Schizosaccharomyces pombe: one gene and its partner. The protein of the gene in region 1 interacts with the protein of each later gene in a pairwise test. Each region holds a gene or a part of one and is shown in the gene's direction. Other genes may lie near its edges.

Region 1 (8,647 bases):
AAAAGACCATAATCAAGCAACTTGAGTCTACAAAAGAAAAGATGAACCTTGACTTTTGAAAGCTTGAAATGATGGCAGTACAAGCAAGTTGAACGTAATAAATTGTACATTTGAGAAAAAAATAGAGGGTGATATGCAGGAATAGGAAGTACTATATGACCAAAATGACCAGGGCAGTATCTTTCATCCAAATGACATGTAGCGCAAACAGAATTTTTTAGATATGGACCCAAAGCAAGGTCATATAATCCGCCGTTAGTAGGGTGATTTAAATTGTCAAGCAAAACGGGATTTACGATTTGTTTGACGGATATTTTTTCGACATCGTCAACATCGTAAATCCCAAACTTCACACTTTTAATCTCCGAAGAGACTGGCTGTGCAATATTCATTGTACTATTTTGCTTTTGTATACAACCGGCACATGCAATCCGCCCACAGACCTATTTGGTTCTGTATGAAAAGAAAATTTCCTTAGACTGTAATTTGCTAAAGTCCGGTGAAATGCGTTACAATGTGCATAGCTGTGAAGCTTCATTACTTATTTTACAGCGCGTTATATACAATAACACACGTAAAATTTTTTGGTAAACTACAAATTAGATATTTTAGCGCATCGGTAAATTTATAAACAAACCGAAAAAACCGGATTATTGATGCTAACACGTTACGATGTACTTTCATTGTTACACGGTTAACATATTGACCACTTAAACCATGGCATTATGGTTTCATTGTCGTAATAAAAATAAACTGGAGTTATTTAGAGAATTCGTACTGTATGCGAGTGGAATGTTGGTATCAATCAACTGACTTTCGTTGCTTACATTTTATTAGACTTCACTTCAGATAAAGTGCCTTAATAGTCTAACATGTGTTAGGATTTCTGATCTTGGTCTCTCTTCATTTTTAAATTTAATTGAATTAAAGCCATTCTCAATGTTTTCTGCTTACTTACCTTAAGTAGCGAAAGAAAACTTTCGTTTATAAGCACTAGTTAGTAAAATTCATCTATGGTAACAATATGGGTTTACGAACAATTATTCATATTTTTTGTTGATTTTTGAACATATCTCCTTCTTTTTTATACTATGGAAGTTGTTACTGACTTTTTCTCTGCTCAAACGTATGTTTTCGAAAGAATAGAAAAAGGTGCGATAATAGTAGTGAGAACTCAGATTTGAAATTAGCGTATGTTGAAGGCTTAAAAAAATTGAACGTTTCAATAGATTTCACTACCTATATGTTTTTATTCAAAAACTTGTGTTTTTTGAGAAATCGTTAAGCGGTTCGAATATGTGTTGGTATATTGGGTCACTTTTCAATTGAAATATTTTTGAGACTAATCCATAGTATTGAGCAGCTAACTAGTTAATAATCGATTAATTTATTTATGCATATTTCGGAAACATCGATATTGATGTATGTAGAAATGAAAATTTTGCCTTATTAAAAATATTTTCTTATGTCTTCATAACAGCCATCTAATAGCAATACTAATCATCCTCCATAAACAATTTGTTTTGCAATTTTGGAATAAAGTGTCATGTATCGAGTCGCATTCCCCCTACACTAACCACCACCACGCCATGGAATCATTGACGAAAACGGAGTATGTAGATGCGTTTTTGGTAAGCTTTATTTTAGCTATTTCCTTCTTATTAACAAATAGTCAAACTACTCTCCAAACGACAGCATGTCGATCTTTCGACAGCGCCTAGAGCAAGTTCGCCTAGACAACGACATGCTTTCGCAGTGGATTCGTGAGCGAATGGATATTGAACGGCAATACTCAGATCAATTACATAAGCTTGCAATGAACATGCAAGAAAAAAACAATTCATCGTTTGCTTTTAATTATGCTTGGAAACAGCTCGAGGGAGAAACCCTTGAAATTTCAAGATATCACAGTCAAATCATTGGACAAATAGCTTCGCAAGTTTATAAACCTTTGATAGATTATTATACTTCTTCACCACAAACGGCTACGCTTAGACGTTTAGCAGAGCGGTTATCAACAGTTGCAGAGGAGATGGCATCGTCTTCTGTACCTGGTCTGAAGGGATTAAAAAAAAAAGGCCGTGATGCGGATACTAAGAGTCAGAATGATCTCACTGCTTCTCGTGCAACCTGGGATTCCGATGCTCCTTTAGCGTTTGAAAAATTGCAAATTGTTGACGAGGAACGCCTCCTTATATTGAAACAAGTTTACCTGACAATTGCAAGTTTGGAAACTGATACGGCTCTTAAACAGCAAGAATTTTTTTCTAAATCTATGGCAGTTTATTCTGATCTACCTATTGAAGGTGAAATCCGTCAATTCATGAACTCCACATCGAAAGTTATGTCTTCCGCATCTGCTAATAAACCATCTAAGTCATCGGGCTTTCACATAAACAATGGAAAATCTAAAGAGGAAAAGAGTCATGGAGAAAATGAATCTGGTGGTAAATTGAAGAACAAAATGTCCACGTTGTTTCGTCGGAAAACCATAATGCCTAAAAAGGATAAGAAGCCTTCGCATAAATCTAATGGTCGCCCTAATAAATTAACTGCTTTTTTTAATAAGAACTCCAAAGCTTCGAGTATTTCGTCTGCTGAAGAACACCCATCGAATATAGATGATAGTTCAATCGAACGAAGACATTATGATTCCAATCATTCTTCACAAATTCGGGATCATCCCTCTACTAATAATAACGCTTCGTCTTATCAAAACTTTAATGAAACTTCCGACGAGGGCGAGGACAACGATGCCACTATTCGTGCAAACAATGTTCGCTCATCCTTTTTGGAGGCTCCGCTACCTGTGCAGCCTAATGTTCAAGCAGAAACGGTTACGCCTAAGATTTCCTCCAAGGCTTCCCCCTTTAATAAACCCAATTCTGTGCACTCTGAAGCCTCAAGAAATACCCCTTCATCGATCGATAGAGAGAATGCATCACATTCGAATCCTATCATGATGCATGGCAATGATTTTGGTGGGAACTTTAACAACATGCAATCACGATCAACAACAACGTCTCCCACATCAGCGGTGGCTTCCCCTGCGCCTACTGAAAACGAGGATAGCAATGCTGCAATTGAAAGGGTAGCAAATACTTTACGAAAGAATCCCACTATATCAAGAAGGACCCGTCGTGCTGGGACAATGGATCGTTATGCTACAGCATCGTCTGACTATATGGAATCAAACCTCGGTAGCTTGCCCAATTTGTCTACTTTATCATTACAATCGGGACCAGACTCGACTGCAACATGGCACCCTGAGTTCCCAAATTCTTCCGGGCTTTCTGCTTCAATCGTCGAAAAGTATTCTGGTGAATTATCTGAAGATGGCCTTCTTCATCCTTCCTGTTCCGGTCATATATTCATGAAATATACCTCGGATTTTAATACCCCTCCTCCTGAAATGGGTGTTCGCGTTGCGTCTGAATTTCCTATGTCTTTTACTCATTTAAATGACCATGCAGTAAAATATGGACCCTCAGAAAACACACTTTCTTTAATACCAGAGCTACTTCTCTCACCAATCAAAGTCACTGATTTTAATCTACATCTTGATAGTATTAACGGTGCTAGTTGCATTCCATTGACAGTTGTTCAGAAATGGAAGCATGATGAAAGCAGTAGTAGTATGATTGCATTTGTGAAGCCTAATCCTGTGTGGAGGAACTTAGGCTCATCTCTTCATATTGAAAAACTTGTTATCATCGTTTACTTGGGGGAAAATGTCCTTGTAAAAAGCTGTCAAAGTTCTCCGGCCGGAGAATTTAGCAGGAAAACTAGTAAACTTAAGCTACATCTTTCGAACATTAATATATCTTCGTCTGGATTTAAAATTTTAGCCAAGTTTGCGATTAGTCCTAGTGCTGCTATTAGAAAGCCAGTTATCGAGTTCCGTATTCGCATGGTTGATTCCTCTAATAACCCTGGTCTCACCAAATTGTTTTTGAAACCAGATATGTTTGATACTACTTCTTCTAGTGGAGGTTCTCAGCTAGAAAGTGCTTATGAAGAAACGAAGGTTCCTACTTCCTATGGTATTCATGTTCGTGAGTGCTCTGTTTTTGCTGATATGAGTTAAATTACTGTTCATTATTAGTCAAGAAAAAGCAAACTGCTTTTTTGGGTTTTATGTTTACACTTTTTTGCTAACCGAATTTTTTGAACATTGTATATATATATAAATGATTTTTAACCAGAGAATGTACAAATGTAAATAGTTATAGAATTTTGAATAAAGAGTTTCTCATTATTGTACGTACAAATGAGACATTGTTAAGGAGATTTTTTAGATTATTCAACGCAACTGAAAATACACTTTCTTAAATGGTAAACCTTAGAAGTTAGGCGAAAAATAGTGTCTTCAATTTAACGAATTCTATGAGACTGTAAACTAGTACAGTAAAATTATTATTGATTGGGGAACAATACCAGATCTACCTACCTGAGAGTAGCCAACAACGTGAAAATTTTAAAAAATGGCTTTGGGGACTAAGCACGTACTCCATCTCACAAAACCGTCTTCCAGGTCAAGTCCTTTGAACATTGTCATTGAACCAGCAGTGCTTTTTTCTATCCTTGACCATTCAACCCGGAAAAGTGAAAATAATCAACGTGTTATCGGTACACTTTTGGGAACACGTTCTGAAGATGGCCGAGAAATTGAGATTAAAAGTTGTTTTGCAGTTCCTCATAATGAGAGCAGTGAGCAGGTAGAAGTTGAAATGGAATATCATCGTGCGATGTACCATTTACACCTCAAGGCTAACCCTCGTGAAGTTGTCGTTGGTTGGTATGCTACTTCTCCTGATTTAGATGCTTTCAGTGCACTGATTCAAAATTTATATGCTTCTCCTGCTGAACCCGGAACTGCTCCACTAGGAACGTATCCTCATCCCTGTGTTCACCTTACTGTCAACACAGATGTTAGCAGTCCCCTTGCCATCAAGACTTACGTTTCTTCACCAGTAGGTATTACAGAGCGCCTTGCTGACAGCTGTGCATTCGTCCCTACCCCTTTTACCATTCGTGATGACGAGGCAGTCCGTTCTGGTTTGAAAGCTGTAGCTGCTCCTAAGAATGACCCATCTAGACTTGCTAGCCTATTCACAGATCTCCAGCAACTTCGAAGATCAACCTTGGAGCTTTTATCTATGATTGAAAGAGTTTCCGATTATGTGCAAAACGTAATTGATGGTTCTTCGCCTGCTAATGTTGCTGTCGGTAGATATTTGATGAAGTGCTTTAGTTTAATTCCTTGCGTAGAAGGCCAAGATTTTGAAAAAATTTTTTCATCACATCTTCAAGATGTTTTGGTTGTAGTTTATCTCGCAAATACCTTACGTACTCAAGTGGATATTGCTTCCCGTCTTAATTTGCTTCCCTAAGCAATTGTTATAACCTAAAAAATCCGGACAATTTCTAACAGTTGTTCGATAGCCCTTTTTTCAAGTCACCGTTATTTTATCCTTTTTTCACACTGGCTGTTAACCCTCAGTGGAAGCAACTGTCTTTATCTCGTCATTCACCCATTTCGACATAGTTTGAGTAGCTTAGCTTGTCGGTAACTATTTAGTATTATACTATAATTGGTTTAGGTTAAACGTCTTATTAAATAAGAGAAAATTTTAAGTCAGAGTCATGTATCTTAACATTTCTTATAGTTAAAATAGTAAGCTTGTTTAATTTTTAAACATTTGATGTTTTTACGTTATAAAGTCGATTTAATTATGTTATTTGTTTTTCAGGGTGTTGAGTTTGTTTTGGTATTGAAAGTAAGCAAAATGTGTATGATGCACCAACAAACATTAAGGGAGTATGTAGAGTAATTCTCTCCGAAAGCACCACCATTTTATAATTTGGCAATCAATTGCCATTAAAATGCGTTTATATTTTAGTGCTTTTCGCCATCCCAAACGACTAGGACTGTGTTTACTGATTACCTTGAGCATTATTTTATTAGGTTGGCAATGTGTTTTGCTATACAATCATAGTCCAGAAATACAAAGGTCAGTTTACACACTGACAGGGTTGGCGCCCTCTTCTAAGATGGCATTTGTAACTATGCTTACTGTACGCGCCGCTAATGGGGAAAACGAAGTAGAAAATACGCAACAGGATTGGTATTATAATTCAACTAGGCTTCTCGTTCACCGACTTGTCAAATTTAAACCTACGAAAAGCAAGTATCCCGTTGTAGTGCTAGCCATGAAGGGAATTGATCAGTGGAAGCTTGATCAATTGCAGGAAGACGGAGCTATTGTTAAAGTAGTCGATCCACTATATGCTCATGAAGTGGTTGACGATGTCAATGACATTGCCCTACTGGATTCCCGATGGAGTATGATGTTTACCAAGTTGAGAGTTTTCGAAATGTACGAATATGATAGAATATGTTTTCTTGATAGTGATATTTTGCCTATTAAAAAAATGGACAAAGTTTTTGATGTTCACCAACTCTCCTATAGTAAGGATTCTGTTCTGTTTCCTCCCACCCTATTCTACAAGCCTAGGCGCAGCATTTTTTGGAGACGCTTTACAGAAGAGTTTGCAGCTTACGGGCTGACAAGAGACGATCTTTATCCCTACGTTTTCGCTGCTGTGTCCGATCCAGGTATGTGGCATGAAACTCCTCCTCCTTTTAAAGATTATTTTAATGCTGGTCTATTCGTCTTTAAGCCATTGAAGGCACATTATAAAAGGTTAATGGCATTAGCAAGGTTTCCAAAATTGTATGATAATGCAAACATGATGGAGCAAAGTTTGCTAAATTTTGCATACAATTCAGCAGGTGCTTTTCCATGGGAGTCACTTGATTGGACTTTTAACGGACTTTGGGCTAGAAAAAATGACTTACCATATCTAAAAGCAGTTCATGGAAAACATTGGCAACCAGAAGGAAGTCTAGGTTATGATGAAGACACATCCAAGCTATGGTGGGATGCGTTTCAAGAAATGCAAACGTATCATGACCAACAACGTAATGCTGATTTATATTAAACAGATGAAAGCAATTTTCATGTCGTGATCAAGTAAAAAATAAGGCGGCTTTTGACTTTTAAGAAGCAGTTATTTTCATTTAATGTATTGCTGACAACACGTACTGTTGAAAGGCTATCTCATTTTTACAGTCATTCTAAAATAATTTGTGTTTCCTCCGTCCTTTTTTAAAACCACTATACTATTCAAATTCATATACACGATCGATGGGATTCTGGATACAGGTAAACCATAATCAAAAAAATAGCTTCCTCTCTGTATGCAAATTAGATCACGTATGTTTAAAACTCACTGAAAGTTCAATGGTTTCAAGAAATTTTGCTCCTTCTTAAAAAATTCCTAATTAGTGTAAAGAATCAAGTGTTAGTCCTATCATCAATTTTAAAATTGTAAGCAAACATGTTATAAATGCTTTTTCTTTGACCAAAGGAAAACCAACGGATTTATATAAAAATTGCTAATTAGTGAGCATACGTATCCTTAGCATGTTTTTCATTTTTAGATTTCAATAAGACATTTGAAAATGTTTTAGGTAGCAAATCTATTTAAAAGTTGTTTTAAATATATATATCAAAGAAGGCTTGGTTTTAGATAGAGTGAAGATGGGATAGAAAATATCAATAGCAAGTAATTGATAAATTTTTTAAACCTTTTAATGTCAAATAACAAGTACTGTAAACTCAAATAATCTTAAAATTTTACATGAAAAACTATACTTCGTACGCATTACATCGTACCTTTAGTCTCCTAAATTGTAGTCAGCCACTACCAAACTCAATAATACAAACTACATTATATTTATTGTATTAAACCTAGCAAGTCTTAACGAGATATAGTCAGTTATAATCCTAGGGTTTTTATTATTCTGGTGGGGATTTTATAGCTATAAACGAAGTTGCGGAAAGCGATAAAATTTGCTTTATAGAATATGAATTTCTTTAAGCGGTTACGCTTACATACCAGGCTTCTACTTCGCTCAAAATTTGTCTTGATTTCACTAATTCTTTTGCTGAATTTGGGTTTACTTTTAGGGATCCAAATATATCGGGATCCCGCATTTCCTGGATCGCTAATTTCATCGGCAGCCTATGAATTTGGGCTTCATAAGCATGGCCCATATTATAACGATAATGTAGATGATTTAAAAAGGTATACATTTATGGGCTTACTTACCCTTCCTACTTCAGAACATGATGTATACTTCAATGCTACTCGAGTACTAGTATACAAGCTGAAACATCATCCTGAAACGAAAAGTAAATATCCCGTTCATGTCCTTGTTATGAAAGGGGTTGATGAATGGAAAATTGAACGATTGCGACTTGATGGGGCCGAAATAATTATGGTCGATCAAATTAAAACTGAAGACTTAATTGAAAGTGGTTTGTCTATTGGCATGGGCAGTTATCGTTATCAATACATGTTCACAAAACTCAGTGTATTTGAGCAAACACAGTTTGATAAGGTCTGCATTCTGGATAGCGATCTCCTAGTATTGAAAAACATGGATGACATTTTTGATACTCCCTATGTTTATGAATCTCCTGCAGAACCCGATATGTTTAGCTTTCCTATCTTTAAGAAGCCAGATGATGAAGAGGATTATCAGTTTAGCGACAATTTCGATGCCTATGGTGCTCCT
Region 2 (7,980 bases), 2.9 Mb from region 1:
ATTGTCGATTATGACCTTTGAAGCAGCACTAGCGGCATAAGCACAAATGATACTTCCAAGAAGACCAATTGCTCCAAGTTTGGCAAAGTGCATGTTTTATTATTCCTTCCTAGGTTCTATTAAATTGACCAGCCTCCTAAGTCATATATAGTAACCATGATCTACACATTATCTGTAAAGACAGATATTTCCAACCGATAAACAAGCACATGTCAGATATACAAATTGGGTATAAATAGATAACCCAAAATCATCGTGTGAAAATGAACATCCGAAAGCTCGGATGTTAAGCCGTCTTTTATCGGCTACTTAAATTTAGTGTCTAGAAGCAAATGATCCCATTCATCCCGTTCTTTTGTGGTAATAGCATTGTCTAAAGGAGGATAAAAAAATTTGGTGTATGATTTTTGGTGTTGAGTAAAATCCTTCAATTCAACGATCTACTTTGAAAGCTAACAAATGTTTTAATCAACTGATCTATAATACCAGACTATGTTTAATCGAAAATGAGACAATCGGTTTTAACACGGTCTAGCACTAAGCAGCCGTCGACCAGGTAAAAATATCGAAGAAGAGGACAGATACTAGTTTTTTAAGTGATTTGACTTGTTTTACTACAGTGATGTAAATGTCTTTACTGGACTAAAAGCAATCTCTCAGAAGAATTAAGATACATCAAGAGAAAGCGTAATAATTGATTTTTGAACTTTCTAATCCGTGAGCTACTGTTCATAACTGGCAAACAAAAAAAGACTCTAAAGAAAGGCAATTGACATTAATCTATTGTAATTGACGTTGGCAGTGTGTATCTTAATTGCTCCGTGAATGCTGCTGATGTTTATTTAATTTACCAATAATGATTCGTTTTCTTTTGTAGATCAAATCATCCATTAAGAAGCAAACAAAGACAAGCTAAAGGGAATTTTGGATGTAATTGAAAGGTCAGTATGTCATGATGGCTTGTCAGAGATTGCAGTACAATTACTTTTTTACAATAAATGTAGAGGTGATGAACTCGGTAATTGGAAAGGTTCAATCTTAAGACGAAGCAATACACTATAGAGCGAATAAAAGAAACGAAAATTGATAATACCGAATAAGTTCTAAAAAAGTTGAGCTTTATTTACACTTCAACTTGACTATGCAACCAGGTGTTGTTTTGTCATACGCATCATTCTGTTGTGAAAATCAAAACATAAAAACAGTAAATTATTTCAAAAGGAACAGACATTTCAGATATCGTTTATGTACGACCTACTTACACGAAACTAGTTCAAAAAAATTGTCGGAAATGAATAGATCAATTAACGCAATGCCGTTAACCATCGTTATATAAAGCTAATGCGATATTGCAAATCATTATGAGCATATTTAAACGCTCTGTTTTCCACGCAAAAGCGTTTAGTGATAGAGTATCATATAGCTAACTACCTTAATTACTACTCCTGCTTAAGGTAGCAGGGTCGATTGCTTTATCTCGGTTACCTTGGATGCTCTCATATAATCGCAGCCTCTCAATTACACCTGATTCAAACAAGTGTGTCTTTTTTGACATTTTGATCGTATTGTAAATCGAATTCTCTTTTTTGGAGGTGATTTCTGAGTTTGCTCAACAAGTGATTTAGTATACTTGAACCACAACGTAAATTGAGCATAGTAGAGATGTCTTTGAATTTGTCTGCGGAAGAGCAAACCGCTTTTGACCAACTGTTTAAAATTGCAGATAAACAAGACATTGGCGTTATCACCGGAGAAGAAGCTGTACCGTTTTTGGAAAAATCGGGCTTAGCTCCTCAAGTCCTTGGTCAAATTTGGCAAATCGCAGATGCTGAGAATCGAGGATTTCTTACATTTTCTGGCTTTGTAATTGCCATGAGGTTGGTGGCTCTCGCACAAGAAAAGCTACCTTTTGATTACAAAAAATCGGGGAAAATTCCATATTTTGCCGATATCCATATCTCTGGCGTTGATTCTTCAAAGTTTGTTCAGCTGAATCGACCAAATAACGTTTCTTCTGGTGATGGATCTGATGGTTCTTTCTTACCTCCTATTTCTTCAGATGAAATGACACGGTATCAACAAATGTTTACTACAGTCTGCCCAACTGACGGTCTGATGGATGGTGACAGAGCTAGCTCAATCTTTGGTCGTGCACCTCTTAGTACTGAAATTCTTGCGCGAGTCTGGAATTTAGTTGATACTCATAAACGCGGGGCTCTGGATATTCGCGAGTTTAATACCGGTATGCATATAATCAACCTTTTATTAAACGGTTCCTTAAAGTCTCCTCCTGTTTCTATTTCACCATCATTTATCGCTTCCGCAGCTTCAACCTCATCAGTTTCTGCACCCTCTCAGTATCCCGGCCTCAGCCGAAGTCCACCTGTGCAAGCTCCAAACATCCCTGTTTCAGATCCATGGGCCATTCCATCTCAAGACTTGACTAGCTTCTGTCAGTTGTTTTCCAACGTTGATAAAGCGCACAAAGGATACGTTTCTGGTAGCGAGGCATATTCGTTTTTCCTTGCTTCTAAACTTCCTGAAGATGTCTTAGCACAAATTTGGGACCTTAGTGACACTAATAGTAACGGTAAATTAAACATTGGTGAGTTTTGTATATCTCTTTATTTAATTAAGCTCAAATTATCCGGAAAAGAGCTACCCAAAGTGCTCCCTTCTTCTATGCTCTCTTCGGTTGCTCCATTAATGCAAAAGAGCAAAAGCGTGCCAACTTCTATCCCTTCCGTTGTTCCTGCTAATATTTCGTCTCCTAATCCCAACCCTACGTTGGCTCCTAATCCTACGGGCCCATCCCGAGTAACTTCAGGAACTGAGGATTTACTAAGCTTGGATGCTACTCCTTTCTCTCCTACCCTTGCTCCTCAACATACATCTTCGAATGCTACAAAGCATTCAGCCCCCCCAGTAACTAAAAGTGCACCGTTCCCTGTTGTTTCACCTCTCCAACTTAACCATACTCCAGGGTTTCCCACTTCTCCAGCTGCTAAACCTAATTCCCCTACATCAACATTCTTTCCTCAATCCAGTTTTGGGCAGACGATTGCCAAAAACACCATGGACAAACCTTCAGCAGTTCGAACTTCTGTTCCCTCACAACTTGCTGCCCCTATTCCTCAGGTTGCGTCTGCCGAACAACTAAAATTAGCTGCAGAGGTACCCAAGTTAGAATCGCAATTATCCCAAGTAAAGAAATCTAATGATGATTTACAAAAGTCATCTCGCGATGTTGCCGCAAACTTAAGCGATGTCAAAGCCAAGGTCAGTGAAATACGAAAGGCCTATGATGAGGAACTAGCAAAAGCCAAGCAGATCAGTTTGGACATTGAAACTAATAAAGCTCAAACTGAGCAAGTTAATCGGGAGTACTCAATTTTGGAAGCCACGCTTAATGCATTGCAAAAACAGAATAAACAAAAGGGTGAAGTTTTAGAGCAAGTCGTTGCAGAATCTGAAGCGGCCAAGAATATGGTAGAGTCATCTAATGCTTCAATTCAACAACTTAAGTCCGAGGTTGCTGATAAAGAGCAGACGCTCGCCCAGTTGCATTTACAATTGGATGAAATGACTCAACGTCTGGTTAGTTTGGACGAAGAGAGTAAGGCTGTTTCGCAAAGAAAACTTGACCTAGAGTACAAAATTAATAACTCTAAAACGCAACTAGCTACCGCAACCGAAGAATATCACGAACACTCTAAACAATTGGAAGCTGAAAAGCAAGAACTCAGCAAATTAGAAGATGGATTGAAATCCGTTAACCTGACTGAAGAAGCTCCGAAACCCGAAGTGGATTCGACACCTCGTTTCCCATCTTTTACCAGCAATGGAATTACCACTGATAAGCCAACCCTTCCTGATACTACTTCCTCGGTGCCCACTCAACATAATTCTTTTGATGCAATGCATAATACTCTCCGTTCTCCATCCCTGAACTCTAATAATTCATCAGCACATGCTTCCACTGTTTCCCGAAATCCATTCCATAACTTGAAAATCTCAGGAGCTAGTTCACCGGTTTCAAATTTCTGGGAAAGTGAATTTGCTTCGGCTGTGTTTCCTAGAAGCATTTCAAAGACTACATCTCTTAGCGTTAATAACTCAAGTGTTAATCCTAGCTTGGACTCTGAACCTGTGCAGTTGTCAAATATGGAGGAGCCACAACATCAGGATAGCAGTGTTGTGGATGTATCAACCTCTGCTTCACAACGTGGATCCCCGGTATTATCTGACTTGTCAAAGTTAACAGGATCTGCCAGAAACACAGCTGAGCCAGTCGAGAATACAAGTGCGGAACCTATTGAAAACACTAGTGCACCTACACCATTTGAAATTGCTAATAAACAACAAGCCACTGAACCTATTAGTGCACCGTTTGCTACTGAAACAATTAGTACACCTGCTCCTGTGAAACCTCCTGTTCCTCCTTCTCGACGCGATAGGTCTGCGCAAGATGGAGTTGTACAACAAGCGACACCTCATATTCAAGATGAGTTTCCACCAATTCAGTTTAATGAGATTGATGATGATGAAAGTTCTAGTGATGAGGAGCCCCCAATGTCTAATCTTTCTCCTCAAATTTCAATTGGATCAGTCACGAATTACACCTCTGCAGTTACGGAGCTTCCTGATCCTAATCATCAATTAGAAATGTCTACGACTACTCATGTACAGCATCCTAATTCGGAGACTATACCCTCAAGTACTGAGAATCAGTACTTTGATACTACATCAGGTGCTTTTGAAGCAAATAGTAATACTGAGGTTACTGTCAATTCTAACGAAGTTAGTCAACCCTTTGATTTTGATACAGCGAACGAATCGGATAACGACGACGACGAGTTACCGGTACAACAAGTTGTCTCAGGATCTCTGGCTAATGATGCTTTTAACGTCGATGATGAATTTGATAATCAATTCGCAAATCTTCAAGCAGCCGAAATAAAGGATGATGACAATAGCTCTACTGATGAAGAAGAACATGCTGGGCATCATTAAGTAGCCGATAAAGCTTAACACTCGTTTTTCTTAATCCTTTTATTGCTGAGATCATTTTGGTATTTTTCCACATGAAGGTGTCAGTTGTGATTTGACTTGACAAATTTTATAAAAAAGTGTTAACGTATAATGGTTGGAAATCAAGTTTAACTGGTTTAATCTATGTAGGACAATTGAACGATATCTGTTAAGGGCTACAGAGATGAGAAACATACCTATCGTTTAAGAGATAGGGTATAGAAAAAAATTCGGATAAATTAATCCCGGCTGTTAACAAAGGTCAAACGTTACGATGGATATGCTCCATGTTGTGGGTATATGCTAAATCATGTTTCCAAAGGATCGTTAGACAGGATATTACACATTTGGAAATCGCAACCGCTTGAAATACTTCTAGGGTAGTACTCCGCTGGGCTAGCATACCATTGTCAATGCTTTAGCCTCGCAATCATGTAAATAGTTCTTATACTTACCAAATAAATCTGGTAATTTAGCACATTTCGGGGTATAAGCTATTAAACCAAAGCGTAGAAAACAGCCTCTGATATACCGTATCTTTTAGTAGGATTTCAGGATGGTATAAAATCATGAGAAAGGCTTCTGTTAAATCAATATCAAAGTCTTAATTTCATATTGCTTGTATACCCAGGTGGCCACTATGGCAATAGTAGCATATTACTATAAACAGTTTCTTAGTTACATATAAATTGGTAGAGGAAATTAAACGTTGGAATATACATTGTACTTAACATACACCTTCAGCCACACCAATTTTCACTCAATTTCACTAATTCACGATGAGTCTTGTCTATTTGTTTCAATCTGTCGGAATTCTTACTCCTTGCGGAAGTGCAGGAGCCATTGCTTACATTACCAGTCAAGTGTTGCCTGCTATTTTAATCGGTCCTGCAGACGTCGCTCTGGCTCAATGGAAATACATATATAGTATGGGCAAAAAGAGCTTCCCATTTTTAGCCATTGCCAATGCTCTGGTTCAGGGCTATTTGTCTTATTCGGAACGGAAGAGAAGTATATTCTCTTCAAAATTGTATGCTATATCGGCTTTATCTGGACTATGTATTATTCCTTTCACGCTTTTGTTTATGAAAAAGGACATTAACTCTTTACAAACGTTAAATCCAGATCTAATACTTAAAGATGTAAAGGCTACTCAAAATTTCCGCAGTATAATTCACAGATGGGGTTTTAAAAACTTATTTCGAAGCGCATTTATGTTTTTCTCTGGTTTAGCTTCAATCGCTGGATCAATTTACTTTTGATAACAAAACATAATTGTAATGTATCGTTTACGTGTTAACTCTTGCGTTCCGATATTCGTTGATGATCAAATAATATTAAGTTCTAATTTTTCTACTGCTGATTATTAAAACACTATATCACGTAGTTAAGTTCGTGAAATTTAAACTATTAAAAAATGCTAAAATTAAGAGAGCACATTTTTATTTTTAAAACGATTCGCTTATAAATTGTTCATACTGCTCAAACATTGTTGTTTGGATTCTATAGTTTGTCAGCTTCAAACAAGTCGACTGAATCAAATTTTTACAAAACGCTTTTCAAAAACGAAACGACTGTTGAAAAACACGGGTTGTTCAATGTTCAGTCATGCAACCAGCGATGCTTTGGGTCTATCAAGGTGTATAAAAGAATAAACATTAGCGGATTGGTTAAGTCTTCAACCTTTTGGTAATTATATGTAACCCATTAACATTTATTCGTAATACCTTTACGAAATCTCGGTATAGGATATCGTTTCAATGCTTGTTCTTCTTGCGTAATACATGAGCAGATAAGTATAGTTTTTAAAGCACTCTACAAGAACTTAACAAAACTCCTAAGTTAAATATCAAATAACAACGACTAATCCTTTTGGTTTATATAAGAGAACACCTTTTTTCGGGTCGTTAAATACATGTCCATAAATTTTGAGTTCATCATGATTGAAACGAAGACGAAGCTCAATCTAGAGAAACGAGGATACTTCATCTGTACTCATTATAAGAAATGCAGTTCATTGGTCGTTTGCAGGCTGGGCTCTAGGTTGAGAGCCATTGGAATTCCTGTATTGGTTATATTGATTTCTTGCATATCCACGTCCACGACCTCTACCACCACGTCCACGACCACGTCCACGACGGCCGCGATTTCCAGAGCCAGCAACGCCAAATGTCTCCATGTTCAAAGAACGTTCGCGATCTCGTAGAGCTCTTCTATCTGCAGCTTCCATACCCTTCTCTTTACTTTCACAACTAATATTATCAAAAAAAGATTGCTTAGGCTTGTAAAATTCTTCGGCTTCTTCATCATTTTTTCCTTTTAACAAATCATCTTTCATCGATTGAAACTTTTGATTTGCAGTTTGAAAGTCAAATTCGGTACGAGGCTTTGCAGCACTAGCATCAGGTTGAGTTGTAGGAACTTCTTTAGAAGGTCCAGATGTTTCAACGGTTTGGGATTGAGAGACATCCACAGTAGTATTCACAACACGGTCATTTGTGACAGTGGAATTCCGTATACTAGTACTTTCTTTTTCAATAGATGCTTCAATGGAGGGCTGTGCACCTGGTATCACTCCATTCGTGGGCGGCATGGATTGAAGAGACGGAGATGCAGATACCGCGGTAGGACCAGGAGCAGGCATGCCCGGAGCAAAGTTGGGAGGCTTCTGGTTTGAAGGCATTCCGTATCCAGGACGTACGTTGTACGGGGCCTGACCGGCAAACCCTTGAGAAACATTTTGAGCAAACTCAGGACGTTGACCCATTTGCTGTTGATCAGGTGCCCCATAATACGGGACCGCAGGTGTGGATGCGTCTAAGGGAGTACCCAAAGGCAAACCTCCAGGAGGTACAAATTGAGCGGGAGCATTCGGGTACATATAGTAAGGTGCACCTGCTGGAGGAGCCTGTTGGTATGGAGCTCCATAAGGGTTAGGTTGAACAGGCT

The links. Proteins that work in one complex are often made in the same cells at the same time.
Region 2: the proteins of syp1 (region 1) and ede1 interact in a two-hybrid assay, tested with the Schizosaccharomyces pombe proteins (one large-scale study listed by BioGRID).

The regions. Positions count from the first base shown.
Region 1 is NC_003423.3:3,119,644-3,128,290, reverse strand, and holds syp1 (cytoskeletal protein Syp1), read left to right. Parts: upstream 1-1,569; 5' UTR 1,570-1,589; coding exon 1,590-1,631; intron 1,632-1,672; coding exon 1,673-4,087; 3' UTR 4,088-4,289; downstream 4,290-8,647. Other genes in the region: DNA-directed RNA polymerase I complex large subunit Nuc1, read right to left, coding at 1-392; tif306 (translation initiation factor eIF3f), read left to right, coding at 4,485-5,393; alpha-1,3-galactosyltransferase Otg2, read left to right, coding at 5,887-7,005; alpha-1,3-galactosyltransferase Otg3, read left to right, coding at 7,934-8,647. UniProt on the Schizosaccharomyces pombe protein: Multi-functional protein that contributes to the endocytic process, but also to events that occur at the neck during cytokinesis.
Region 2 is NC_003423.3:268,020-275,999, reverse strand, and holds ede1 (EPS15 repeat-containing family actin cortical patch component protein), read left to right. Parts: upstream 1-1,531; 5' UTR 1,532-1,662; coding exon 1,663-5,013; 3' UTR 5,014-5,552; downstream 5,553-7,980. Other genes in the region: SPOM_SPBC800.11 (inosine-uridine-preferring nucleoside hydrolase), read right to left, coding at 1-93; SPOM_SPBC800.14C (uncharacterized protein), read left to right, coding at 5,811-6,293; sum2 (translation initiation inhibitor), read right to left, coding at 7,046-7,980.